Daphnia pulex: one gene and its partners. The protein of the gene in region 2 purifies or fractionates together with the protein of the main gene of each other region. This does not show direct contact. Links are inferred from orthologs where the notes say so. Each region holds a gene or a part of one and is shown on either strand. Other genes may lie near its edges. The genes, in order: YY1-associated factor 2-like, S-phase kinase-associated protein 1-like, E3 ubiquitin-protein ligase MYCBP2-like, F-box only protein 9-like, protein prenyltransferase alpha subunit repeat-containing protein 1-like, F-box/WD repeat-containing protein 5-like and F-box DNA helicase 1-like.

What was found.
Region 1: the proteins of S-phase kinase-associated protein 1-like (region 2) and YY1-associated factor 2-like purify together in Homo sapiens (affinity purification with mass spectrometry; 3 studies listed by BioGRID and IntAct, with this or other methods). This does not show direct contact. The link is inferred for Daphnia pulex from reciprocal best matches to the Homo sapiens genes SKP1 and YAF2.
Region 3: the proteins of S-phase kinase-associated protein 1-like (region 2) and E3 ubiquitin-protein ligase MYCBP2-like purify together in Homo sapiens (affinity purification with mass spectrometry; 4 studies listed by BioGRID and IntAct, with this or other methods). This does not show direct contact. The link is inferred for Daphnia pulex from reciprocal best matches to the Homo sapiens genes SKP1 and MYCBP2.
Region 4: the proteins of S-phase kinase-associated protein 1-like (region 2) and F-box only protein 9-like purify together in Homo sapiens (co-immunoprecipitation; 9 studies listed by BioGRID and IntAct, with this or other methods). This does not show direct contact. The link is inferred for Daphnia pulex from reciprocal best matches to the Homo sapiens genes SKP1 and FBXO9.
Region 5: the proteins of S-phase kinase-associated protein 1-like (region 2) and protein prenyltransferase alpha subunit repeat-containing protein 1-like purify together in Homo sapiens (co-immunoprecipitation; 3 studies listed by BioGRID and IntAct, with this or other methods). This does not show direct contact. The link is inferred for Daphnia pulex from reciprocal best matches to the Homo sapiens genes SKP1 and PTAR1.
Region 6: the proteins of S-phase kinase-associated protein 1-like (region 2) and F-box/WD repeat-containing protein 5-like purify together in Homo sapiens (affinity purification with western blotting; 16 studies listed by BioGRID and IntAct, with this or other methods). This does not show direct contact. The link is inferred for Daphnia pulex from reciprocal best matches to the Homo sapiens genes SKP1 and FBXW5.
Region 7: the proteins of S-phase kinase-associated protein 1-like (region 2) and F-box DNA helicase 1-like purify together in Homo sapiens (affinity purification with western blotting; 8 studies listed by BioGRID and IntAct, with this or other methods). This does not show direct contact. The link is inferred for Daphnia pulex from reciprocal best matches to the Homo sapiens genes SKP1 and FBH1.

What each region holds. Positions count from the first base shown.
Region 1 is NC_060019.1:11,515,374-11,518,763, forward strand, and holds YY1-associated factor 2-like, read right to left. Parts: upstream 2,113-3,390; 5' UTR 1,985-2,112; coding exon 1,953-1,984; intron 1,780-1,952; coding exon 1,724-1,779; intron 1,651-1,723; coding exon 1,581-1,650; intron 1,511-1,580; coding exon 1,358-1,510; intron 1,279-1,357; coding exon 1,062-1,278; 3' UTR 501-1,061; downstream 1-500. Other genes in the region: ubiquitin-conjugating enzyme E2 N, read left to right, coding at 1-136. UniProt on the Homo sapiens protein: Binds to MYC and inhibits MYC-mediated transactivation. Also binds to MYCN and enhances MYCN-dependent transcriptional activation. Increases calpain 2-mediated proteolysis of YY1 in vitro.
Region 2 is NC_060019.1:12,034,505-12,037,574, reverse strand, and holds S-phase kinase-associated protein 1-like, read left to right. Parts: upstream 1-1,306; 5' UTR 1,307-1,333; coding exon 1,334-1,464; intron 1,465-1,713; coding exon 1,714-1,844; intron 1,845-1,991; coding exon 1,992-2,200; intron 2,201-2,300; coding exon 2,301-2,477; 3' UTR 2,478-2,570; downstream 2,571-3,070. Other genes in the region: heat shock protein 90-2-like, read right to left, coding at 1-4, 72-79. UniProt on the Homo sapiens protein: Essential component of the SCF (SKP1-CUL1-F-box protein) ubiquitin ligase complex, which mediates the ubiquitination of proteins involved in cell cycle progression, signal transduction and transcription.
Region 3 is NC_060019.1:11,823,075-11,827,223, reverse strand, and holds the start of E3 ubiquitin-protein ligase MYCBP2-like, read left to right. Parts: upstream 1-1,349; 5' UTR 1,350-1,491; intron 1,492-1,748; 5' UTR 1,749-1,813; coding exon 1,814-1,936; intron 1,937-1,997; coding exon 1,998-2,228; intron 2,229-2,295; coding exon 2,296-2,449; intron 2,450-2,520; coding exon 2,521-2,735; intron 2,736-2,798; coding exon 2,799-2,928; intron 2,929-2,996; coding exon 2,997-3,166; intron 3,167-3,237; coding exon 3,238-3,405; intron 3,406-3,472; coding exon 3,473-3,691; intron 3,692-3,756; coding exon 3,757-3,982; intron 3,983-4,042; coding exon 4,043-4,149. Other genes in the region: sister chromatid cohesion protein PDS5 homolog B-B-like, read left to right, coding at 39-155, 244-367. UniProt on the Homo sapiens protein: Atypical E3 ubiquitin-protein ligase which specifically mediates ubiquitination of threonine and serine residues on target proteins, instead of ubiquitinating lysine residues.
Region 4 is NC_060025.1:1,307,189-1,311,202, reverse strand, and holds F-box only protein 9-like, read left to right. Parts: upstream 1-1,236; 5' UTR 1,237-1,433; coding exon 1,434-1,436; intron 1,437-1,523; coding exon 1,524-1,605; intron 1,606-1,674; coding exon 1,675-1,757; intron 1,758-1,838; coding exon 1,839-1,974; intron 1,975-2,040; coding exon 2,041-2,213; intron 2,214-2,273; coding exon 2,274-2,327; intron 2,328-2,394; coding exon 2,395-2,442; intron 2,443-2,501; coding exon 2,502-2,563; intron 2,564-2,632; coding exon 2,633-2,789; intron 2,790-2,850; coding exon 2,851-3,138; intron 3,139-3,215; coding exon 3,216-3,407; 3' UTR 3,408-3,514; downstream 3,515-4,014. Other genes in the region: speckle-type POZ protein-like, read left to right, coding at 1-847; out at first protein-like, read left to right, coding at 3,843-3,971.
Region 5 is NC_060019.1:9,416,919-9,419,954, forward strand, and holds protein prenyltransferase alpha subunit repeat-containing protein 1-like, read left to right. Parts: upstream 1-1,201; 5' UTR 1,202-1,295; coding exon 1,296-1,402; intron 1,403-1,503; coding exon 1,504-2,443; 3' UTR 2,444-2,536; downstream 2,537-3,036.
Region 6 is NC_060022.1:5,214,614-5,218,617, reverse strand, and holds the start of F-box/WD repeat-containing protein 5-like, read left to right. Parts: upstream 1-1,204; 5' UTR 1,205-1,394; coding exon 1,395-1,469; intron 1,470-1,534; coding exon 1,535-1,655; intron 1,656-1,769; coding exon 1,770-1,927; intron 1,928-2,000; coding exon 2,001-2,174; intron 2,175-2,254; coding exon 2,255-2,578; intron 2,579-2,651; coding exon 2,652-2,748; intron 2,749-2,820; coding exon 2,821-2,902; intron 2,903-2,967; coding exon 2,968-3,200; intron 3,201-3,260; coding exon 3,261-3,390; intron 3,391-3,454; coding exon 3,455-3,568; intron 3,569-3,641; coding exon 3,642-3,762; intron 3,763-3,854; coding exon 3,855-3,946; intron 3,947-4,004. UniProt on the Homo sapiens protein: Substrate recognition component of both SCF (SKP1-CUL1-F-box protein) and DCX (DDB1-CUL4-X-box) E3 ubiquitin-protein ligase complexes.
Region 7 is NC_060017.1:4,720,554-4,724,592, reverse strand, and holds the start of F-box DNA helicase 1-like, read left to right. Parts: upstream 1-1,239; 5' UTR 1,240-1,351; coding exon 1,352-1,471; intron 1,472-1,565; coding exon 1,566-1,693; intron 1,694-1,749; coding exon 1,750-1,966; intron 1,967-2,034; coding exon 2,035-2,108; intron 2,109-2,176; coding exon 2,177-2,342; intron 2,343-2,415; coding exon 2,416-2,877; intron 2,878-2,954; coding exon 2,955-3,207; intron 3,208-3,275; coding exon 3,276-3,334; intron 3,335-3,392; coding exon 3,393-3,665; intron 3,666-3,728; coding exon 3,729-3,786; intron 3,787-3,847; coding exon 3,848-4,039. UniProt on the Homo sapiens protein: 3'-5' DNA helicase and substrate-recognition component of the SCF(FBH1) E3 ubiquitin ligase complex that plays a key role in response to stalled/damaged replication forks.

The DNA of each region.
Region 1 (3,390 bases), about 520 kb from region 2:
TCAAGCTCTATTGAGTGCGCCCAATCCCGATGATCCATTGGCCAATGATGTTGCTGAGTTGTGGAAAGTCAACGAGGTAGAAGCTATTCGTAATGCTCGAGAATGGACCAGAACTTATGCTATGGGAAACATATGAAACCTGGATCTGTGGAAGGAAAAAGAGTAAAATTGTCAATCCGTTACCGAGAAATTGTGTTTGAATTTAGATTATTTTGCTTTCTTTTGTTCCTCGTCCATCAGCCTTTGTCGACTGATTCCCCTCCCTTCAATTGGTTGAACTGTCCCCGATGGTGATCAGCCAAAAAACTACATTTTGCTCGTTCTTATATCCCAATCTTCTTTTGTTTGCTCGTCAAAAGTTCTATCGACGGTTCATTCCAATTCACGCGTCGTTAAAATGATCGTCGATAGCCTACACTTTTTACCGTTTAGTACCACGAGTACCTCAAAAGGATACTAAAGAATAATAAAAATGCCGTCACCCGTGGAAGTCTAGAGTATCAAATTGTACAGCTGTGTATTTACTTGTCGTGGATGAGGAGGGTGAAATTATAAAGACGGATGAGAGCGCACATTTATCACGAAACGAAAACCATCCACTCGACAGACATAATCAATTTTTTACCAAATCTTCCCCGACCTCTTCGCACCGTTCAGATGAGGTAGGTTCAAACCGAAAAAGGGAAGCGAATATTGGTACTGAGATCCGATCAGAAACAGGAATTCCCAACACTCAAAAATAATCTCCAACATTATGGAATTTCGTGGTTACAAAAAAAAAAAAGGGAAAAACTTTGAATCCAGAATAGTTATAGACAACTGCCTCTTGGTTTTTCATGTATAGTTTTCGGTTTGGACGTCTGTCGCTCCAGTTCTATCTCACTGAAATTCGGTTGGGACCAAATTATAGCCTTTATAGATATTTAAAAATTATATACTTCTTGGCAGTTGAGAAAAGATCGGTATGGGGTCAATTGGGTGCGCAAACAAATACAGTTCAAATAAAATACCTCGAGATGCTAAATAATAATAAAAAAATGAATCACGAGCAACGACTTTAGTCAGTCTGAATGTTCTTGATCTGCAGGGGAAAGATCGTTGCCGTGATTGCTGGCACTACTGCTAGAACTACTGGTCGTGTGTCCAGCATCCAGATCAAGGTTACTGGGAGATGTTGACTTGCTGCTAATTTTTGGCCGAAACTCAGTAATGACTACTGTCACATTGTTCACTGTCACTTCTTTGTGCATAGCAGTGCTTCTGTCAACATTTTTCAACCTATTTTAAACAAACAATTAGCAAGTCACACTGAAGGATAGATATCAAATTTTGTTTTAACAATTTTATTAAAACATACCTTGGTCTGGCTTTACTGTTCCTGGTGGGGTTTCCATCTGATGATTTCCTCTCAGATTTATCTCTTTCTTTAGATTCCTTCTCTTTTCTATTTTTGTTAGCTAAGGAAGGATTGAACACTTGAGGTACCAACTGAGGATTGAGCCTTGGTTTCCTGAAAACGTGCAAGTTTTGTCACATCTGTTAAATGTTTAGAAATGGTAATATTGCTAAGGAAAAATTACCTGGTTGAGGTTCCTTTTCTTACATCACACATTGAACATTTAAATGCCTCTGCATTATTTCTGTAGGTACCTATGTAAATAATACAATGTTCGTCACCATTTGTCAACATCTTTTGTTTTCATATTGCGCTTTGTCAACTTACAGACACTGCAGTCCCAGTAATTTTCTTCAATTTGCTTGCTACTCCGCTTCGCCCTTCTTGAAGGTACAGAAACCCCCATTAATATGATTGAAATACTTATAACTAGCATAATTCATAGTTACAAAAATAAATAAAAACAAGAATATGGTCGGTCAAGGCTACACAATAGGTGTACGATTGTCCCAAGTCCTTCCCTCAAAATCGAAAGAAAATAAATGGATAAATTTACCTTGCATTTGGACTGCCTTTCTTTGAATCCATGATCAAAACGATGTGAATCAATCAAAATAATTCAACTACTCGCAAACTTCGAATTAAAATGTAGGAATGGCATTACAAAATACGTTATTAATACGCGTTATTCTGTGCTTTTCGGCTACAAACAAGATATCGATTATCGTGTGATCGATACGGAAACTTTGACATTATTTTCAAAACAAAACATTGTGATTTGGAAAGAATTTCTTTTTATCAAATGCTTTACACTATATAATAAATATTATGGGGTGCGGATTGAACACTTTTTCCAAAAAAACTTTTCAAAAATCGATTACCATATTTGATTTAAAAACAAATTGATAATCGTTTTGAATATTGAAATCAAGTTGAAAATAAATTCAAAAATTGAAAACGTTTTGAAAATGAATTCATAAATTGAAAATGATTTTGATAAATGAAAATGATTTTGAAAAATGTAAATGATTTCGAAAAACTAAAATGAATTTGAAAAACTAATATGATTTCGAAAAATGAAAACGAATTTGAAAAATGAAAATGAACTTGAAAAATGAAAATGAACTTGAATATCCATACAATTTCGGGAGTGCGATATGACACCACCCTACTCTATCCCCAGCTCTCTCCGGATGCTATAGCCACCCCGAGACAACCGACTAGCCATTGATGGCTATGTCGCTGATTCCAGCCAGCAAGGCCGTCAGCGATACTGTCAGCCCTTGCCGGGCGGTGCTGGCCACCGCTGCCGCCACAACGGCCGCCGCTAAAGTCTCTCTCGACCGCAGGCCGAGTATTACCCTACACAAAAATAGATTACACGATCCAACGTGAAAAGTTTCATGTTCCTGCAGTAAATGACACACAGCCTACCCAGCAACGATGAAGACGCGTGAAGACGGAACGGCCGAATGGGTGGCTTTCACCTGAGAAAAGTTCCAGTCACGCCTCGGTATGACGTTCTCGCGAAGTTCTCGTCATTCCACTAACTGCCAATTGCCCGGAAAGAAGTGTTCTGGTACGTTTCGCTGGATAGGCCTATGCGTCCTGTACTGCTGCGATACTCTGCCGTTCAATCCGACGAGAAGAAGAAGGCGGACACGCGACACGCCGTCTTGCTGACGTGGATCCTCATGTTGGTGCTGGCCCTGCTGGAAATTATCCGCTATCTAAGCGGATTGGGGAGCTGGACTTCTCTATTGTCTCTACGTCTTTGCCATGTGGTCCACTTGCGCCGGAAGTGATATACAATTGGGCCATTTCCAAGGAAGAGCTCATTGGAAGGATGGCTCTGTCTCAGCTGCAGCGACGGATTGAACACCAAAAATTGGCGCAACGTCTATCTTTTCTACCATCATGGAGGCAGCGGACATGGCGGTGGAGGCCAAAGAAGAGGATCCAAATGGTCATGTTGCTCATGTCCGTTTCAACAG
Region 2 (3,070 bases):
ACCACTAAAGAGAAACAGAACAGTCAAATTCGTGTTCAAATAGGAGGAACTTTTCAAATTTCTCAACTTACATATCCATGAGAGTGAGTCATTCTTGTTGGGGACAATCTTGATTTTAAGATCCTTGCCGCTATCCAACTTGCTTGGGTCAGTCAGGGATTCATAATGGATCTTGTCTAGGGCATCTGAGCAGTTGGAGATCAACTATAGAAGGTGTTGATAATCAAGCTCATAAGCTGAGCAATCTTGGCCTGGAATGTCATAGTCTCAGCTTCATCTTCCATTTGATCTTCTCCAGGCATCTAAAAAGGGAAAGGAAAATATTTCAGTAAGAAATGTTTGTCAATTGTGGTAGATTGCACTCACAAATTGAAATTCTACATACTATCTATGGACTTGAGGCATACCAAAAAATGTGTAAAAAACCAATTTGTTTGTCTAAACCAGTAGTAAAACTGGTAAAACTTACTTTGCTTTTAAACGTAAACAAACAAACCCGACGCTTTTCTGTTCACGTTTGGTGGGGATCTACATGTATACAAGGCCGCCGGGCAGTCGTAAAAACTGCCACCAAATTCGCTTCTTGTTAGGCCTGCAAACTATAGCTTTGGGTTGACACACATCAAGCCGGGAAAGTGAGCCCGTTCGACTTTGAATCGCTGTGTAAAAAATACAGCTATTAGTATATCTTCATGTGATCCATTTTGAAGACCTTTCTTTGTTTAATCTCTTTCATACAAAAATTTTCATGATAAGTAACACATTTACGTAAATTTTGTATTAATGTTTAGTGTCGTTTTGAATTTGCAGTTTGAATTGCAGCGGTGGCGTTTCGAAACTGAGCCCCGTTTGACTTAGAATCGCTGTTTTAAAAAATGAATATATTATATCTTCGTAAAATGTGATCCATTTTAAAGAGATTTCTTTTTTAAATCTAATGCCTACAAAAATTTGCGTGATTGGTGTCACAATTACGTAAATTTAAGTGTCTAATTACTGCAATTGAATTTTGCAGTTTGAATTGCAGCGGTGGCGTGTCGAAACTGAGCCTCCTTCGACTGTGACTAGAATCCCTACGGGAAACTGCGCATGGCGCCATGGCTTGGAAAAAATATTTTGGGGATTTGGCCATCTCGAATTGTGCAAAACCGGAGAGAGAAAAAAATCAGTTAATTGGTTTTATATATTGCCATTTGCCAACAAAAAGAAATGTAGAATACACAGAAGTCAAAACTCAAAAATCTCGAAAACTGGAAAAGAACACGTTTTTCATAAAAACCGCTTTAACATGACTGTTGGTATACTTTCGCCCCTTCCCCTCCGAGTGTATACTATGCGATGCGAAAGTTGCAGTGATGTTTTCCATCACAGAGCGAAACAGGGAGGAGAGGAGGGTTCATTTTTACTGAACATTTTTCAGACCAGCACCAGCGCCATTTGCTCTAGAGCAACCTTTATAGAAAAGTACGTAATTTGCTTAATTTTTTGTTGAACTCCAAGCTTAATTTTCTCAACATTATTACAATACGGACTAGAGAGTTAGAAACTCGAAAATGTACCCATAATGTTTGAGATAATTCCCATAATGATGTGATTTTCTTGACTGTTATTTTTGTTTGGAATGTGTGTGCTGGTTCTCCTGAGGGCTTGATCCATTCATTGTTCTTTGCTGCTGGACTTTTGGTTATCAAAAAGTTTTTTTGTGTATTTCAGTTTTCAGAGAACAAACACAATTCACACAATGCCAAACATCAAGCTGCAGAGTTCCGATGGAGAAACATTTGAGGTTGATGTCGAAATTGCCAAGTGTTCAGTAACAATCAAAACAATGCTTGAGGATCTAGGTAATATTTTTCAATAAGCTTAATGTTAATGTAACAAATAAAATCAAAAGTTGCACCACAAAGATATTTATAGGCAAATGCGTCATTATTTTCTTTTCAAATGCTTAAAAAAGGTAACGTTCAATTGAAATTCAATTTTGGTTTTAGGAATGGATGAAGATGACGAAGAAGTTGTTCCTTTACCCAATGTCAATTCTGCTATTCTACGTAAAGTAATTCAGTGGGCAACTTACCACAAAGATGACCCCCCACCACCAGAGGATGATGACAATAAGGAAAAACGTACTGATGATATCTCATCATGGGATGCTGATTTCCTCAAAGTAGATCAAGGAACTCTGTTTGAACTCATCTTGGTAAGTGTTCATTTTCTGATATCACACCTATGAAAACATTCTACAATTGTTTTAAGTTAAAAATGTTAGTGAAATGTAATGTACATATTTTTGTTTTTAGGCTGCCAATTATCTGGATATTAAAGGCTTGCTGGATGTTACTTGCAAGACTGTTGCAAACATGATCAAGGGGAAAACCCCAGAAGAGATTCGCAAGACCTTCAACATCAAGAACGATTTCACCCCTAGTGAGGAAGAGCAAGTACGCAAGGAGAACGAGTGGTGCGAAGAAAAGTAAATTATCTCGACGAAATTTTGTTTTCACATGTTACATGTACCTTTGTATCCAACTTCATGTTTTCAAGCCAAGAATACAATAAATTAAAAAGCAGTTTTAAGTGTATAGTCAAACAAAAGAACAAGTTGTACGAAGTTCCGTAGTGCACTGGTGAATTAACTGTATGTTTTAAAACAGCTCGTGCTTTAGACAACCTCCCGTTTTGCCAATTATAATGTACAAGTTTTGGTTTTTTTGTGTGTGTGTGTGTGTGTGTGTGTCAGTGTGTTGAACACTGCATTATTTTTAGATTTTGTTTCGTTAGATGGTCTCCTGAAAATGAGCATATCAAGAAAAAGATAAAGGGACTCGCGGATTATATCCGGGCTTAGCTACTAGAAATGCTTTGCAAGTTAGACACCATCATTGGTTTTCATAGGTAGATGATAGGCATGATACCTTGACGGCTTGACCATTAATTTTATAATTTTCCCTGCATACGTTTTGTATGCATAATATGTAGTGTTTCTTATAATGTGCATAGATTGCATTTTCTTCGTAGAAATAATTGTTCACGGGAAGTCGGAAGAAAATGTTCACTGGTGCGTGCTGAT
Region 3 (4,149 bases), about 210 kb from region 2:
TAACTCATCCTCAAACTTTTCATCAACTGTTTTTTTAGCAACGGCAACGAAGATCAACCCGAGTCAACGGAACAACCACCTGAATCCCCTCCTAAACGTCGTGGACGGCCACCTCGTAACCCGGCACCTGAAACGAATGAAAAAGAAGTGGAAAGGTATGTTGCTGCACTAGAATTATGTCAATTGAAAACTGAACGCAGCTGAAGTCATGCCAATAAATGATTATTTTTTTTTTGCTAATAGTTCCGCTGCTGAAGAAGAATTGGAGGTGGAGGTTAAGACGAGAAAACGAAACAAGGAAGATGAAAAAGACACTAATGTTGTTACGCCTGCTCGGAAATCCGCGCGATTGGCTAAACCCAATTGAAGTTAATTCCTTATCATTCATACTGCTTACATTGAAAATGACCACCATGCCCCTTTTTCTCCCTTTTTTTTCTTATCTGGTTTCCTATTAGAAGTTACAATTAACTACACCTCCTCAGCACTTGCACACTTGCGTATGATATCCATTTTACAAAAAAAAAGTGAAAAAGAGCAAAATAATAAGTAAGAAGTTTGCTGCTGTCACCCGTCTCTTAAAATGTGGTTATTTTGTGCTCAACTTGGACGTTGAGCGACCGAGTTCATTTACCCGAGTCGTCGCTTGAACCCTCTTGTGAAACGGTTTCTCATTTTACATTTGTGGGCATGGGCATTACATTACATTACTTATTTTTATTGGCTGTCGTGTTGCTGTTTTACTTGATCATCACGGAATTGTTTAAACAAGCTTTCAAACTTATTATGTGAGATGTGAATAGCTCCCTAGTCTTTTTTCTTTTGTCTCTCCACATTTGCCTACCATCTCGAAAGACTTAAGTCTTTGCTCGTATTGAAACCCTGATTGCAGAGGAAAAGGAAAGCCCGTCTAGTTGACAATAATTAAAGTTTTCTAAAAAAAGGAAAAGTCGGACAAATCAGGCGTGGTGTTGACGAATCCATTGGTAACTGTAGATTGAAAGTATTCTATGTAGCATAATTTGATCTTTCGCGCTCTCCTCGGCGTTCGTTGGTGGATAGTGGCGTTGTCCTGAACCAAATTTTGTCGTCATTAAAAAAATAGGCTATGGACTGGCTATGGAGGAGAACAAAGTTGTTATCTATCGTTGAATTAGCTTATTACGTCAATAATAAATACCAATAAAAATATTTTATATTTTACTGTAGTATTTATCTTTTGGTACAGTTACTCAGTTACTGTACCAAAAGATAAGTTATATAACAAAAAACAAAATATAGTTAATAATTTTACCACCAGTAGCTCTGAAACTAGTTCAGCTTTTCTCTCTCGAAATTTTCTCAAACTTGGAATTCGTGCACTGTTGGGATATATCACTGAAATGCTATCGGCCGTGCAACAATAGTAAACAGCTCAACTTTGAGCAGTCGACAAGGTCTCTAGCCGGTGTGCGGTGCTAGGATATAAAGGCAAGAAAGTTAATTAAAAAAGTAAGGTCTAAACGTACCTATATGATTACAGTGTGTGTTTTTTTTTAAATCTTAAGTGTAGTGAGGGTGAATACTTTAAATGATATTGACCACTCTTTAAATTTCGATTTCGCCTATAAAACCTTGAATTCAAGTATTAGCAGTGAAGTCAAAAGGTCATTTGGGTTACTGTACTCTAAATTGTAAAAGTTATGATTAAAATCTTGGATTGAATTCATGACATGACCTAATCTGAAGTATTTACTTCTTTTCTACAGAATTTTTTGGAAGTTGAGAAAACTGATGGAGAGATGTCTTGTTGACCCATTGAACAATAAGCAAGATGGAAAGTTCAGAGGAACTATCTAGTGGATCTTTCCTAGGAAAAATTCTTCACAAAGTTGTAGAAAATTCACTTAGGAAAGGGAGATGTAACAATAATTCCAAATGTTTGACTGGTTACAAGGTGTGCTATTAAAAATTAAACAAATTAAACAAATATAATACTTTATTTATATTTCATATAGGACTTGTTTGTTTCTGCAATAACTTCTTCTGAATTGGGAATCAACGCAGATCCTTCATATTTTACCTCTCTTGCATTTGTGCGCAAACTGATTATTAGAGAACAAGATGTGGCTGCTAAGAAAGGATATAATTTATGCAAACTCCTCACTAGTTCCAATTTGGATTTAGAAAATGAAGAACCAGTTACAGATGAAAATCAGAAAAGTGAACGAGTTCTCCAAGTTCCTCAGGTTTACTTGTTATTCTTTTCCTGCTTCTACATTTATTAAAATTACCAATAATTTTTTTAAATTGTAGGTTGTAGTAATAAGTCTGAGAAGCATATTTGATCTGATACAAGAAAGTCAGGTGACACATCCTCAGTTATGCTTCAAAGTACTAAAAGCTCTTTTAGGAATACTGCAGAATCTCTTTCCAGAAAGCTTGATGTCAGAGCCCTGTCATGTTGTTGGTATGCCTACTTTGCCTATTTTGAAGTTGAATTTAGAATTAAGTGACGATACATGTTCATTTTCATACTAGAACCCTTATTTGAACTACTTCTCAAATTGTCAACAATGACTGATGCTGAGAATACTTCCACGATCGAAACACAAGAGGTGGGAGAAAGCTTGTCATCTTTGGCTTCGTCTTGTCTTCTTAGTTTAGTCATCGCTTGGGGTGTAACTCCGCGAATTTTACAAGCCCTCGACGCTCTCATCACAGTTGCCCGTCCGTTGGCTGCTCAAATAATTGTGGTTAGTAATTTTGTAGCAAGTTTATTTAAATTTCGTGATAAAAGAGTGCTTTTTTATTTATAGCTCCCCAACATAATGCTGACTCTTCAAAAAGGAGTTCGGTCCACCGTGATTGGAACTTCTCATGTACCAGACTGGTTTACACAGGGAATCCAGCAGAAGACACTTGTTACATGCTTCTCTGTGAATTTAGGTACGTAATTATTATTCTAATAAATTTACACACGATAATAATGACCGACTCTTTTTGTTGTTTAACAGGCAAAGATTTGATTGAAAACTCCATTGCTTGTGACGGGCCATTTATTTTCTTGTTATCGTCCTGTGGACTTTACAAAATTGGATCAGGACTTGGTAGTACTGTCAGTGGTCGATTGTACGCATCCAACAAAAAAAACGTGCCCAAGAAGGGCACTTTGCTTTTCTTCAATGTATTTGATTTATCTTATATCACAAGGGAAGTGTGGACACAATAATATTTTTTTTTTTTTTTAAATTTTAGGGACAATTATTTCTTCATACTTACAGCAAGGAAGATCGAAACCTTCACATAGTCGATAACGAAACATTGGCATTGAAAGATTGCATTAATCTGCAAGATTCAATCGGCAAAAACTCGTCTTTATTTTCAGATGGAAACCGTCTCGGAAGCGTTTTCAAAACAGACGAAGTAAATTCATTTCAATACTAAAAAGAAATTTTGTTTCGTAACATTCTGCTTCGAAACAATTTATTAGGACGAACTCCATGCAACTCTATTCGAAATCAACAAAGGGGAGCTATTTTCATTTGGAGAGAGTAGATTGAGATTGGCTCTTCAGAGTCTATACATTGTAGGAGCTTCAATAAATGATGAAAACACCGACCTACGGCAAATTAATTTCAATGCTGACGAAGGATTTACCAGCATAGTGGCTGGAAAGGAATTTATGCTGATGGTTTCCTCTTCAGGAAAAGTACTACTATCCTCATCTCGTCATTATAGCTGTGCGTATGCACAAAGTAAACTTTTTTTTCTTAGGTTTCTTACCAAGGGAAAGCTTCCTCTCTAGGGTTGAAGACGGTTGGAGAGTTGGTCCATAACCAAGAGCAGACATCAAATCGCTGGTATGAACTTCCTCTTCCAAAAAGCCCGTCGATTGTTCGCTGTGCCACGGGACATGACGGCTTGCATGCTGTTTTCTTGGGTGCAGACGGGACTGCATTCTTTGCCGGGTTGGCCAAAAGAGGAGAAGACGGCGATTTGAGTAAATTTGTGATTTCCCCCCTTACAATATGAAAATTTTAACGATTGTCATTATTATTAGCCAAGCATCGAAGGCAGCAGAAATCAAGTCGACCGAAACGTTTTTCATCCATTGAAGGGAAAGTGGTTGTTGATATTGCTTGCAATAATGGAAGTTCGGCCATGGTA
Region 4 (4,014 bases), on a different chromosome or scaffold from region 2:
ATTTCTTACAACTCCCGGATTCGCTAACTTCAAGAGCGTCACGGCTGTCGACCCTTTTCGCATGAAATTATCAATCCTAAACGGGAAACGACAGAAAGTTCTCCAGCAAGTATACGGTGTTCAAAAGAATGGCTATTGTAGCATCCATCTGAATTTTCTCAAAGATGCAATCCTAAAATCTGAGTGTCAGCAATTGAACGGAAGTCTCGTCTTCCACTGCGAGATTGAATCGTACGCGAAAAAAGAACCTGTCGCAGGTAAAGCTAATCTAATCCAAGACCAGTCAATTAGTTGCAGTGATCAGCTGATTGACCACTTTGAATATTTGTTCGAAAACATCAAGTACGCTGACGTCACTCTAAACGTCGGTGCTCAAAAATTTCAAGCACACAAAAGTATTTTGGCGTCAAGAAGCAAAGTCTTTGCTGCCATGTTCGAACATCCGACCAAGGAGAAACTGTCCAATCAAGTGGAAATTGAAGACATCAATCCGGATGTATTTCACGAGTTGCTTCGTTTCGTGTACACTGCCCGTTTATCTTCAAAGACCATGGAGAAAATGGCAACTCAACTTTACTTTGCCGCAGACAAATACTTCTTGGACCAGCTGAAGACCGAGTGTGAAGTCCATTTGCTCCATCATATGACTCCCGACAATTGCATGGATTTGCTGCTTCTACTCGGCAATGAACACCAACTGGTGGATGATTTGAAGAATGAAGCCGTCGATTTCTTTCGTATTAATCCAGTTGACGTTATGGCGACTGATGGATGGAAAAAGGCGAAAAAAGATCACCCGAAGTTGTTGTGCGACATTCAAGAAATGGCCCTCCGCCCTGCTGTTTAATGAGCATCTAGCTCATCTGTTTCTCTCAAAGAAGTTGAATCAAAATCAAGTTGAATGAAGAATTTAATTTTTTGTACCAAGAATTTTTTTTTTATCTGTTCAAGTCCTTATTCAAACATTTGTTTATTCAATAACGTGAAAAGGAACATTCAAAATACAACACAGTTGATTGCAAATTGTCTTAACAATTTCATGTTCGCTAGTTACTTTCCTAGAGTCAGTTTTACCGAAGGAAAACCAAGTATAATAGTGATTCCACATACAGCATTCATGAGTAAGTTTATGGATTTATTTTATATTAGAACCATTCGGTTTGTCTGCAAAGCAATCTTTAATTTGCCATAATTTGAATAGGCCGCGTGTTCCATCACCGCTTCTGCTACTAGCAGACGAAATTTTTATTTTTGTCGCGCAGCCACTGACGTATTAACTTGGTCAACATCAATTCGATTGTTTCCATTTTCTTTTACACCAATATTTCGTATATTTGTGCATATGTGGACTTACTGTTCAGTTAAAAAAGTATCGTCCGAAAGTAGGACTGACCATATATCCAGCCGAGAGAGTTTATTATTTTTCATTCCCAATGGTAGGGTTGCTACAGCTTGATTGGATAAGAAACATTTACAATTATATAATCAAAATATTTTTGATTTCATTTTGTCATGCCAAACAGGAGTCCGAGAAAGATCCAGCAACCGAGGAACTACTAGAATCGTTTCGGCGACAATGGGAGACTGAAATTTCTGCTGCCAGATGTATAAATTTATCACTTTGCTCTATCATTGTTAGTGAATGTTGACCAAACTTTAAACATAACATTGCAGTGCAGCAATCTCTGACAAGCAGCAGTAAACCCAAAAATGAGGATCACGAGTCTGGGAGTAAAGAAACTGTTGATGAAGAAGAGGTTTGTATAGCTATGTACCATTCTAAACATATCCACAATCTAGCTTATTTATGTTACTAAACAATTACCCAAATTCTCTAGGCAAAAAGTTTATATCTACGTGGAGTAAAACATGAAAAGTCTGGAGAAGTTGTGGAAGCTATAAAATTTTACAAACGAGCAATGCAGTTGGTCCCTGATATTGAAGAAAGAATATACACATATCCCAAGAACAAAGGTTAGAAAATCAAATTTTATATTTGAAAATTTCTTGTCACTGTTTAAATTTTCTTGGGTGCGACAGAAGGCAGCGAGACTACTTCGGAACCAAAAAGTCACAAAGACTTGAAGGAAGAAGTTCATAACAACAATTCTGATGATGAAGACGATGATGAACTTCCGGTTGATTTGCTAGTTAAGCTTGAACGGCTATTACTACAGGATGGTCTAGTTTGTACCCCACACGATGAACCAAAGGTTTGAAACCATTTTTAATGACTTGTGCGTATCAAACATTCACAGAAAAAATTGTTTTAGGGTACTCATATATCGGATTTACCGCGTGAAATTATTATTTACCTTCTCAAATGGGTATTTTTTAAATGAATGGTCATTACATAAATGTGCAGCGCTAAAATTAACATTTCAATTTCTTCAGGTGGTATCTTCTGACTTGGATCTTCGGTCATTAGAACAAGTTTCATTGGTAAGTAGTATTGTTTTGCTATAATTTCAGGAGCGTCACTTATTTGATCATGTTTCCAGGTTAGCCGTGGTCTCTACGTCTGTTCCCGAGACACCGAAATTTGGAAACTCGCGTGCCTTAGGTATACTTTTATTCCGTATAGATAGTTTTGCTTGTTGGAAATGACGAAAATGTTTGTTTGTGTCTCCAGTGTCTGGAACAGCCCAGCCAGTCCTACAACTCTTGGTTTTACCAACTATAGAGACATGTTCATTTATCGTCCTCGTCTTCATTTTCATGGCTGTTACATAAGTAAAACATCATATGTGCGGCAAGGAGAGAACAGTTTTCAAGATACCAATTATCAGGTAAAATATTGCCGAAAGAAAATGTCTTACCGTGATTTTTCTTCATTCTTTTTTTATTTAGCCGTGGCATTTGGTAAACTACTTTCGATATTTGCGCTTCTATCCTGACCGAACCGCTATAATGTCCACCACTGCGGATATTCCTAGCTTGGTAGTCAGTAAACGTCTAAAAAGAAAAGATCCTTCTTGTTTCCGCGGTTTCTACACGCTCCATGGAAACGTTGTTACGTGTATCTTCAAACGAAAACGGATTCCAGAACGAACTGAACGAATCGATAACAGAAACCGAAGAAGGAATGACGAAGCAAATAATAACGGCAGCACAATGATTGAGCAGATTTTCGAACTGGTAAGTTAACTGACACCTTATAATTGAGCGGTGCAATTAAATCGTTATTTCTCTACTGTCGTCTTTGATGAATGTAGGAATTGGAAATCAAGACTATCAATAAGAAGAAACTTCATTGCGCACTTCATTGGAATCGTTACAGTATTCAGACTGTTTACCAAAATAAGGAATCCACGACTGCCAATTTTGATATAACCGCTACCCGTTTTCCGCCCTTGATCTTCAGCCGTGTGAGGTCCTATAATGCCCAAAGTGAGAAACCACTTTAAAAATCCTGTAAGGAAGTTCGCTTCAATCAGATGCAAACAATTTTAACAATTAATTGTGCCTGTTTATTGTTATGGAATTACAAAAATAAAATGCAATTACAATTTAACGTATCAAGTCTTATACGCAGGTCTATAATATCGGGAATTATTGTCAATCTCTAGTCAATTTCCCTTTGGCTATTTTTGTTTTAACCTTGAAATGTTTTTTTTTGTTTTTTTTTATTGTTTCCCCCTTTAACCCCGCATGCGCGCTTTACCGTCTTTCCGTTTCCGCTATTCAGTTTCCACAAATTAGTGCCCTATAAGTCGTAAATTCGTAATAGCATACTCTGTCTCTCCAAAACAAATCAACATCAAAAGTTGTTTTGATACAGTCTTTTTACCCTTTTTACCAAAAATAATAATGAAGTTCTTTTCAAAGATGTATGACGCCTGATGCCAACAATTTTAATAGTCGACATGAGTAGCCCTATGTTTTGGGGCGTCCATTTGGCTTGTTTAATATTTCTACTGAGTTGTTTCAGCTCCTCAAATCCCCAGCTTGTCATCAACATAAAAAATCAGGTAAACTGCTGTTTGACCATAAAAGCTTGGTATAATTGACTCT
Region 5 (3,036 bases), about 2.6 Mb from region 2:
GGTATAATATTTAAAAAGTTACACAGCTGTCTAATTAATCCACATAATTACTTTTGCTTTGGCATGAGGCGTACAGCCAGTACAGGCAGCAAGTGAAGACATCTACAAAATCAACGGCCGTCAGGCAAGGTCCTCAAACAATTTGGCCCAGTGCTATATGAGGCACTGCATATGCATTATAACACATTGAAGTATGATATGTTTAACTGCAAGTCTGCACAAGCTCCATTGAAGTGCATCCCTCAACTGGAAAAGGGCAGCAAAACCACTGCACAACGAACAGCAACACCAAACTGACCATGTAATCCTACAAAGGAAAGTAACATTAACACATCAATAACATTTTCCGGTGGAAAAGGAAAAAAATATTGATAATAAAATTTGCAAAGAAAAACCAAAAATACATGCAAGTCATGTTTAACTTTGGCTTACAACTGTAAAATGAATGATTCAAACACTTAGTAGTTAGTTAAGCCAATGATTTACTTGAAATGTACACTAAACTAGAAGATGACCGAAGACCAAATTAAGTTTTAAAGAATGAAGTGGATTTCTGTTCCGTAACATGAATAAAAATTTACAACTCTCCACAAATTTACTTAATTTAAAAGAACTTTCCACAAAAGCTCTTATTTAGAAGCATGGAATATGATGTCACTTGTCTCCAACATTAAGAACAACATTGCTAACCTACCTGATTAACTTACAAGTACAATATTACCTTTTCAGATTTCCACTTTTCATCACATTTTTTTGTCTTGCAAATGGCATATGACCCTCTCAAAGAAGCATCTTCATAGTTCATGACAAGGCAGCGATCACGTGGAGAAATGCAGAACATCTTCCGACATGCTTTCACAAGATAAATTGACGTAGATTAGAAAATGGACCTTTCAAAAATTTAAAACTCTCACGATTCACTTACTTGCTTTAGAATTGTTCTCTTTCGATTCAGCTTGGTCGAATGGCGTGGATATTTATATCTCATCATCTTTAAAATGTAAAAGCGAAAAACAGTAAAACACCGTCATGAAGCTGCAACACGATTCCGTCCGCTGTCTCAAAGGCAAATGGATGGAGGCATTTGGTTTGGTTTCAATCTAAAGTCTGAAGCCGACGATAACATATCGATAAATAACTAAAAATCGATACTACAAATTGCGATTACCAGAGCGGGCAGAGCTTCTGTTTACTAGCGCCACTTGAACTACTCTGGGCAATAATCGATGATGCAGTCGAAAAAAGAAAAAGAAAAAATTGAGAATTTAACGGCTGTTTTTGACAGATTTTGAAGGATGCAGCGAGATCCTTCCGACTATAAGAAAATGGCTCACGATCCTTACTGTTTAGAAGAAAGGATAATATCAGACCTTCAAGCTGTTATGAAAAAAGATCCCAACTTGTAAGTATAATTTAATGGTTTTTCTGCAACATCCTTTATGGTGATCAACACCAACTGTTTGTAAACACTAGTTTTTATATTCATTATATTTTTGTTGACAGAGATGAGTTTGATGTTGTTCCAGTAACAGAAGCCAAAAATCGATCACCAATCATCCATATTTCTCACAATCTTGGAATTGAAGTTTGGTGTGTAAAGACGGTTTTCATGTACTGCTATGAAAACAGTTTCAAATTGGATCCCATGTGGAAAAAGGAGTATTTGAGATTGGAAAGATACACAAGAGTGGCATTATTGCTTAATCCCAACATAGCTACATTGTGGAACACGAGAAAGAGATTGATTGCCAATCATCTCTTGGATGGCGATTGTGATTTCCTGCTCAGCAAATTAGTACTAAGTCAAAAGCCCAAATGCGTTGAAGCACTTTCTCACAGGCGTTGGCTACTCCAGCAAGTGTCTATAGACCCACAATGGGTGGAGACAGAATTGTCTCTGTGTGATAGGCTCTCCAGTCGCATGAAATGCAACTACCACGCTTGGTCTCACAGACAGTGGGTGTATTCTCACTCCCTCAAGCTGCAAGGCTTCAATCTCAATCTGTGGGCGTCTGAATTCGAGATTTCTGACGTTTGGACAAAGTTTCACTTGTCCGACCATAGCGGTTGGCATTATCGAAAATTCCTCCTTGATCATTTCAGGCAAAATTTAGGCAAAATTGAACAGAACATGGATATCGCCCGGAAGGTATTGGGCGACTCAACCGGTACAGCTACATCTTCCCAGCTCTACATGAACCTGCTGAACGAAGAACTGCAAAAGAACCAAGATTTGATCTTAAGTTTCAACGCCCATGAAACGTTGTGGTACTATCGTCGATTCCTTTTGCAAGCCGGGACAATAGATCATTCAGAGAGTCTCTTCATCGAAAAGTGTTGCAATCCCGCTAAAAGTAATAGCAACTCCGCCAACAATGTCGACGCCATTCAAATGAGATATTTGGAGCATCATCGACGATGGCTGTCTGATTTCTGTTTGTAAAATTTGACTAATGCTGCTGATTTAGGATCCGTTTGTTGTGTATAAAGGTTACTATAATAAAAACCATCATCCAAGACGGTTAAACTATTTAAACAGAGATACGGTTTATTTATTTCGTTCAGCTTGTAATCGTTGTTTCATTACAGTAATTCAGATAAAAAATACCACGCAATCCAGGCTTGAAGGCTTGAAGCTATAAAACTTGGTGAATTGGTATACGTATTAAGTATATACAAATTGAATAGGAGACGAGCCCAACACCTCAAGTGTAAAAAAAAAATAATAATAATAAGAGAATCAAGAAAAGAAGCAGTCAAGAGATCAACTATAATGCTAGTATAAAACTGGGTGGAGGAGAAATAACTTAAAAAAAGGATCATCGTAAAAAGAGAGGAGATTGCGTAGAGTCGAAGGCGATAAAAGACGGTCGCCAGATTACCTTTAATTAAATTACCTCCGCAGTTGCATACAAGAAAGAGGAGAGAAAGCTAACAATAAAAAAGAAATGTGTGTGTGTGTATGTGTGTGTGTGTGTAGGGAGAAGAAAAGGAGGTGCACCGGTTTGTCGTCGTGAAAGTGTGTTGTGTGTTGCA
Region 6 (4,004 bases), on a different chromosome or scaffold from region 2:
ATGCCATTGTCAAGTTCATTGCAACCAAAGTGAACTTTACCTGACCGAAAAGACGAAAAAAGAAAAATAAAATAAAAAAACTTTGGTCGAGATAAAAATCCTGGCGACGACCGTCCATCGTTATCTTCTTTTCCCCGAGAAGTTCACATACAAGATAACGACGGCGCTTTTCCTCTCTTGGATTTGTTGTATATGTATGCGCGTCTATATAGCCGTATTCCGCCTACTCCGTCTTCCGGCCCAACGCACACACATGTGTCTACTATATATACACCCAAAAGTAAAAGTAAAACAATACGAAACAACAAGTGGAGCTGGTGGATGTCACAAGAGACTCACAACTGGATCAACACCGACACAGCATTGGCTCAATAGCTACATCCTCCTACATGTTCAAGGTTGACCACAAGTTGGCTTTCTCGTCCAGTCTGGAAGGCTTCATCAATATGTAGAAACCAAAAACTTGATTGAACTTATAGTTGATGCTGCTGCTGATCTCGTCGAAACTGGCTAGTGGCTTTGACGGAGAAGCGCGTCTATTTTACAAAAAACTTTAGACTCGACGTCGCCCGATTTTTCAACCAGTCCATGACCTATGAACTCGCGACTTGCTTGTTAGTAGCTTGACCTCTCAGCAACGTATGTCGGCGAGTCCGAGAAAAATTGACTTGAATGTTTCGTGTTCCTGCTAGCGAAAATCGAACGGTCTCTTTTTCTCATTTCAGACGTAACGCATCGATTACAGTGGCTTTGAATGAATAGGAATTGCTATTTTGTGTCAAAATGTTATGGAATCATTTATTCGATTGTTGTTGAACATTGGTAGGCAAGAGAGACAAAAAAACAATCCTTCAACATTCGCAAGCATTGCAAATCACTTGCATTTTATTTAAAAAACATTCGTGATCAGCAAGACAGCAGAGTGGCGCAGCGGAAGCGTGCTGGGCCCATAACCCAGAGGTCCGTGGATCGAAACCACGCTCTGCTATAACATTTTTGTCAACATTTTGAATGATTCGCAATTTTCCTTTAACCTAAATTGTAAAGTTTATATTTTAGTGATATCATTCCAATTTTTGCAAAGTCAACCATACACTGACCTACAAATAATGTCAAATTCACTTTTTGGGATTTCACTGCATATTTTTGAGGAATAAAGTGATGCGAGAGTCATCTAGCGGCAACCATCCATAACTATCGCTTTGTTGTTATTGTTGTTTTTATTTCTAGGAATGGTGAATTGTGCCAAGATCCAATCCATCATTCCAGTTCGTCAAGCAAAAAAAAGTTTCAACATGAAATGCCCGGAATAAACTGTTGAAACATCTTGAATTGGAATCTCCACAGAAAATCTTATGTTTATGATTTTACAAAAGATTTAAATTTAATCTAAAATGGACATGGAGAATGGTTGGAGTAAACTGCCTGATCACGTTTTGTTGCAGATATTTCGATTTCTCAAAGCAGAAGTATGTAGAGCTTCATGTTTATAGTCATCATTTCAAGTTAAATTTCTTTCTCTTGATGTTTCAAGGACATACTGAAACTTTCCACCGTTTCCCAGACTTGGTACAGAGTCTCTAGAGATGAACTATTGTGGAAATCTTTCTTTAAAAGAGACTGGAACATCAGTCCGAAAATTGGAATCGCTCCGGGTACATCTCCTCTCTCATATCTATTGAATTTATCAAATTTTTTAAAATTGCTCTCATATTTATCAAATGTGTTATATCTATGACTTCTAATGTGTAAATCTCATCCTTGTTTAGGCAAAACTTCATGGTTCAGTGAATATCTGAGACTGTGGCAGCACACACCAATATTAGAAACTGAGGTATTAAAGGGCCATACACATCAAGTGCTTCATGTCAGTTTCTCGCACAATGGCAAATATTTTGCCACCTGCTCCAAAGATGGCTATGTTATGGTATTAAAAGATTACAAACACTGGTATATCTAGTACATTGCTTGAATGATGTTTGATATTTCTTATTGTGCAGCTTTGGGATGCTGGTTATCCTGCCAGAATCAAACATTATTATGATATGAAAGTGTACAGCTGGAAAAACACTCAGTTTAGTCAATTTAATGAATCAGATACCCTTCTGTTGGTATCGGGAGTTCATTTTGGTAATCACTCAAATACGGGTGAAATCGCCGTTTTCAATCTTGAGGTAAGTGCCGTAGCAGGGAGCTGCTACTTGATACATTAGATGAAAAATTAATTTAAATCAATTTTATCTTGGATTCACAGGAGAACTTTGTGATTCAGTGCAGAATGTCAAATAAGCCTTACGATTTTTTTGGTACGTGGTACAATGACAACTACCTACTATCCGGTGATTTACGCTGGCTTGCCCATCTCGTTAGTACGTCAATCGTTTGGTTGAATCGAGCTTCACAAGAGTCCGATTCGGAATTCACTTCAATCATGAACCGTATGTTCAAGTTTTATAACCGAAGCGCCTCTTCTATTCGCTCAATCACGGTGGCTAACTGCCGCTCTTTACCTCAACATCAGACGTCTTCTTCCTCGCCGACACCCTCTGGCACGTCTGACGATTGCGCCTCCAATAAAGTATTCATTTTTGATAGTCGCTGTAACTTGCAGCATAATCGTGGAGAGCGCCCTTTTAATTGATTTTGTACAGAGCTGCCACAAGACGGGGAATCCAATTTCACAGCCCGAACTTGCCGGAACCAAGACTGTAGATCCCGGTTCAGCCAAAGAGTCCTTCCAAGAAACATGTAGAAAGATCTTTTAGATATTCTGCGGGTTCTGCGTTCAGTTGCATCTTAATATTTCGCCTTATGTTTCAGCTGAAGGATCTTTGTGGCCAATCAATACTACCGATGAGTTTCAGTGCTGGCGGCGAAACTCTCCCGACGTTTCCATTTCAGGGTAATAATAACTATTGCTGAATTTTCTAAAGCTCATTTTAAACATTTTTTTTTTCAATTGTTTAGTACTACATCCGCAATGGACGATGACATAGAGGGCGATTCAAAAAGTGAAGATAACGAAGCCGGTGAGCAGTCAGGTAGATCCGATTCGCCGTTTACCAGTTCCGGAACTGGAGCACGGTCTCAACGTGCAGAATCTGAAGCCACGGACGAAGATTCAGAGGAAGTGCTGGATCCCCGCGAAAAATTCCTAATTTTCACTATGGGTTCTAGAACTTACACTCCGCATCAAATAGGTTTGTTTTATAGCGTTTTCCTTGAACCCGGAACCTTCAACAATTACGTTTTCTACTCAGGTTTGAAACGAATCACTCCGTTTACTTTTTGCAATCGCATCGACGTTGGGCCGAGTTTGGCTGAACGAGTGGCTATCCAGAGGCAAGAGCGGCAAGCTTTGGAAGAATCTCTGGCCCTTGGAATTCCTCCGTAAGAACAGGTTTCGTGGTTTAATTGATCATTTTAATTCTTTCTACATTTCCAAAATCTCCAGTCCCGAACCTGTTTGGCAGGACTTTGAGGCGGTAGCCGATCGGTTTGACCCAATTGATCATATCATCGATTTGAATGGACATATAATTGGAATGTCTTTGTCTCCAGACCACAGGTATTACTTGGGATCCTCGTTTTCATCATAATAATTATTATCGACTTCTTAAAATCCGTATATCCGATTTCAGATATTTATACGTCAATGTGCGACCCTGGCCACAAGGTTGCACTATAGAGAATCCCCTCCAACCACCGCCCATCGCCCAAGAGATCGACATACACGTAATTGATCTAGTTACATTGAAGCAGGTATAGGAACACTATTGGAAATATGGCCATTGGCCAAGTAAGAAGGTATGACGCGAGGGAAACTAATATGGTTTCACGTTTCTGCCTTTCAGGTCGGATCTTTGTTACGGGCTCATCGGTCATTCACGCCTAATGACGAATGCTTTTTTATCTTTCTGGACGTCAGTAAGGATTACGTTGCAAGGTATAGGAGATGGGCGTTTACTTTGTATTGTTTCTTTAAGTCCAATTCAATGATTCGA
Region 7 (4,039 bases), on a different chromosome or scaffold from region 2:
TTACATTTTGTGCAGCTATTATATTGATATTATCGCAAAGAGCGTAAGCCTAGAAATTTGAAATCTCGTAGACTCAATCAACTTATTTGTTTAGTAGACGAAGGTCAAAGAGTGAACGGCTCACCTCGATTGCGTCAATTGTGATGGCTCGTACGATGTGACGTCCACCATCTGTCAACCGAGTTCACTTACTATAATCTAGGCTAAATATCAAACTGTAAAGATCGAGTAACAAGGTACACAAATGGCTCCATTTTGAAGGCCTTGTACATATCGGCTCCCGTTACTACCGCATACGTCAATATTCACAATACGTTTAAAACAACAATACCTCTGAGAAGATAATGCTGAAGTAACATATTGCGTTTCTATTAGCTTTATGGATAACGACGTATCCTGGCACTATTATTTATGGGAGGTGTCGTTGGTACTTAAAAAAACAAATCATTCAAGCTGATTTCAGCGAAAGAGGAAATCACTAACGTGTGGATGAGAATGCCTTTTCATCTACTGCATTATTAAGTTTGTTGACCTTCCATACAAGAGTGCAACTCGTCCAATCTATGAAGTAATGCCCAGTCCAAAATCATTAAAAATAAACTTTGTAGTGTGGGAAATAAAATCAACCTTGCATGGAACTTTGCCGCCTTATTGTGATAAGTGTTACTTATTAAACCATCAAATAAGCTTGAAAGCTTACGACCAAATATTACGAAACAAGTGCCCTTGTGGCTAACCCAAGTGCCATCTACGCTGATATAATGGAATGGAAATTAGATCCTTAATTGGTCAGCTAGGTCTTTATCTAAGCCATATCAATCATATTAAACGTTACCCATCGCATCATCACGTGATTGTATCTAGTGTCTAGTTTGTCAGTTGGTTCAGTTTTTTCCGCTTCTGTAACTCTCCTGAATAAACAAAATGAAATAATGCATTTGTATGAACCTTTCTCTTTAATAATGCTGCCCAGCTGGGGAAAAAAGACGTTTGGAGAAGAATATTCAAAAATAAACTCTCTAAAAACCGACACAATCAGTTTCACTTTTTTGGGCTTTTATTTTTATTCGAGTTTATTTTTTTTATCTCATGAATCTATTTCAGTATTTCTATACTAATTGAATCAAAATGAAATTAGCTTTGATTGATTAATTAACTGGTTTTTTCTTGTTTGAGTTGGATATTTAAAAAAAACTTCATATTTTGGACGCTAGATGGACGCTAGATTGTGCTATTGTTTTGGTTGAAAAACGTAAATACAACGCACCGGACGCGTTTACGAGTCCGTCTACACGTTGAAATTGTAACTCTGGTTGTAGTTCTGTACAAAATAGTATTTTCGAATTTTGAAATGAATAATCTTCCTGTTCAAGTGCTTGAAAATATTTTGGCCCACATACCTGTTATAGATCTTCATAAGTCATGTGTGCTTGTGTGCCAAAATTGGAGGGAAATCATTTGTCGACAGAAGGTAGGGTAGTATATGGCCGATATGGCATTCATTTTTGTTTGAAACCACTCTTTAAACAATAGAACATTGACATACTTTTGTTCTCCTATTTCAGTTTATACCTTGGAAAAAACTTTATCTTTCATACAGCTTGAATGTTGAGGAATCTACTGCTTTCCTGGACCAACTCTGTGATTCATACAACATTACGGGAGTGCAAAACTGTCTCCGTGGTTTGATTTTGTAAGACATATTTACCAAAAGTTTTATATTGTTAAGTATAAATAACTCTGTTTTAGCTATTTTTTGGAGTTCACTGGGTCTCCTGTGAATACCATGAGGTATTTGAAAAGTCATACCCGCTTCAGTTTAGCTGAAAGATTAGTGGTTGAGCAGTATAAAACTACTTCACTCTGGGGGATTACTGCTATGATTTGCATCTTCTCAAATGATACATGGGAAATGTATAGATTGTTTGATTTATTGACGCATTCTGAAAGTGATTTCACGACAATGGTAAATTCAATCTTCCATCATTAATTTAACCTGTTTTGCCTCCTCTAACACATATTCCTTGCATATAGGAGGTAATGGAGAAATTTTACTGTTTATGCACTTTGTTTCTCTACTTCCACAGAAAGTTTGGAATTCCAGCTAAGTATGCATTCTTTAATGTGTATTTGTGCTTTGTTCTTATAATCACAAGTTATTTTACTTATCTCAAAGGTTGCATTATAATTTGATATATGCCCTCAACTTGTTTGAGAATCGCTGGACGGGTGCCCCTATTAGTCAAGTGTCAAACCAGTCATCAAGCCAGCAAAAGTCTTCACCTCCTCCATTGACACACGAACAATCGCGTATTGTAAATCATCGCATCCAAAAAGATGATGTAAATTGCTTAAATTAATTATAGAGATTTTCTAAAAATTAAAACTTTGAATTTCTTTTCATGTTTGTTTTAGTTAATCAAGATCGTGGCGTTTGCTGGAAGCGGGAAAACTACTACTTTGCTACGTTTTACCGAAAATAATCCAGAAACCGAATTTCTGCTTATTGTGTTCAATAGAGCAGTGTCCGATGAAGCCGGCGGAAAATTTCCGAAAAACGTAAAATGCACGACGATTCATAAGTTGGCTCGTAACCACATCATTGCTACTGGCTTGATGAAGAATAAAGAAACGGGTAACATTTTCCCAACGAGTTTAGTTAAAAGCCATATACTTGAAAAGGATCGGCGAGGACTAAAAAGATATCAACGAGAGAAACTGGTTCTTGACACCCTTAATCGGTTTTGGGGTTCGGCTGATGATACAATAACTCCTGAACATGCTCCCACCAAAATCAGAAGCAAATCGTCATCTGAAGATAATGCCACAGGAGAAAATGTTGTTGAAGACAGAATTCTGACCCTCGATGAACGACAGGTGAGATTCAGCTAATTAATCTCTGTTTATTGCTTCTCTAAAAAACACCTGTTATTCCATTAATTGCCTCTTTTTAGAAATTAGCGGCCGACGCCCAAAAAGTCTGGTCTGTCATTAAGAATCCAAACGATAGGCGTCTGAAATTGCCGTGTGATGCATTCCTCAAACTTTGGCAGTTGGAAAAACCGAATTTATTCGAAACTGAAAAAGTTCACTGTGTGATGGTGGATGAAGGCCAAGATTTGAACGGAGCCATGCTCGATATATTTCTCAGCAACATAGGCAAACGCATTATCGTCGGAGATCCACATCAGCAGATCTATCGTTGGCGTAAGAATAGCATAAACTCAACGTTTATTTATTTGAGGTTGCCTAATAAGTTTCTTTCTTCAATCCAGGATATGCCGTGAATGCACTGAATAAAGTCCCTGCTACCCACACGTTTTACTTGACTCAAGTAACTTCATGAAACAAATCTCTATAGCTATATTGTCTAACTTTTTTCTTCTTCTTAGTCATTCCGATTTGGACCAGAAATTGGTTTCATGGCCAACTCCTGTCTATCCGTCTTGAATAATGTCAATGATAAATGCTTGGTAGGCATTGATGTGCACGATGCACTGGTATCGCTCAGCGATGCCAATGATCAACTAAACCACCAACTGCAAACTAACGGCAAGATTTGCTACCTGGCTAGGACCAACCTGGCACTTTTCAAGAAAGTCGTGGAAGTTATTGGTTGTGAATTTGGTAGCAGTTCCCAGAAGCCTAAAATCGCTTTTGCCGGAGTAACATCAACTTATTTTCAAGTTTGTGAGATGTAAATAATGAAAGAAAATTTCATTTTTTAGGGAATTAAGAACATGGGATTGGACCTTATAATGGACGTTTATTATCTTTGGAGAGGAGGTAGTTTCAATCTTAAAAATGCTAAATTATGCTGAATGAATATCAAACTTATTTTTTGCAGCCTACGACAAAATTACCAGTCCCTTTCTACGTAATCGGAAGTTATTTGAAAACTTCACCAGTTTCACCAAATACGTAGAAGCCACGATGGACCACGAGTGGGGAGCGAGAATAGCTCAAGTGACCTGGGCGAAAAGTAAAACGGAGACGTATGTCGATGCGATTCGAAAATCTCATGTCTACATTTCCGATG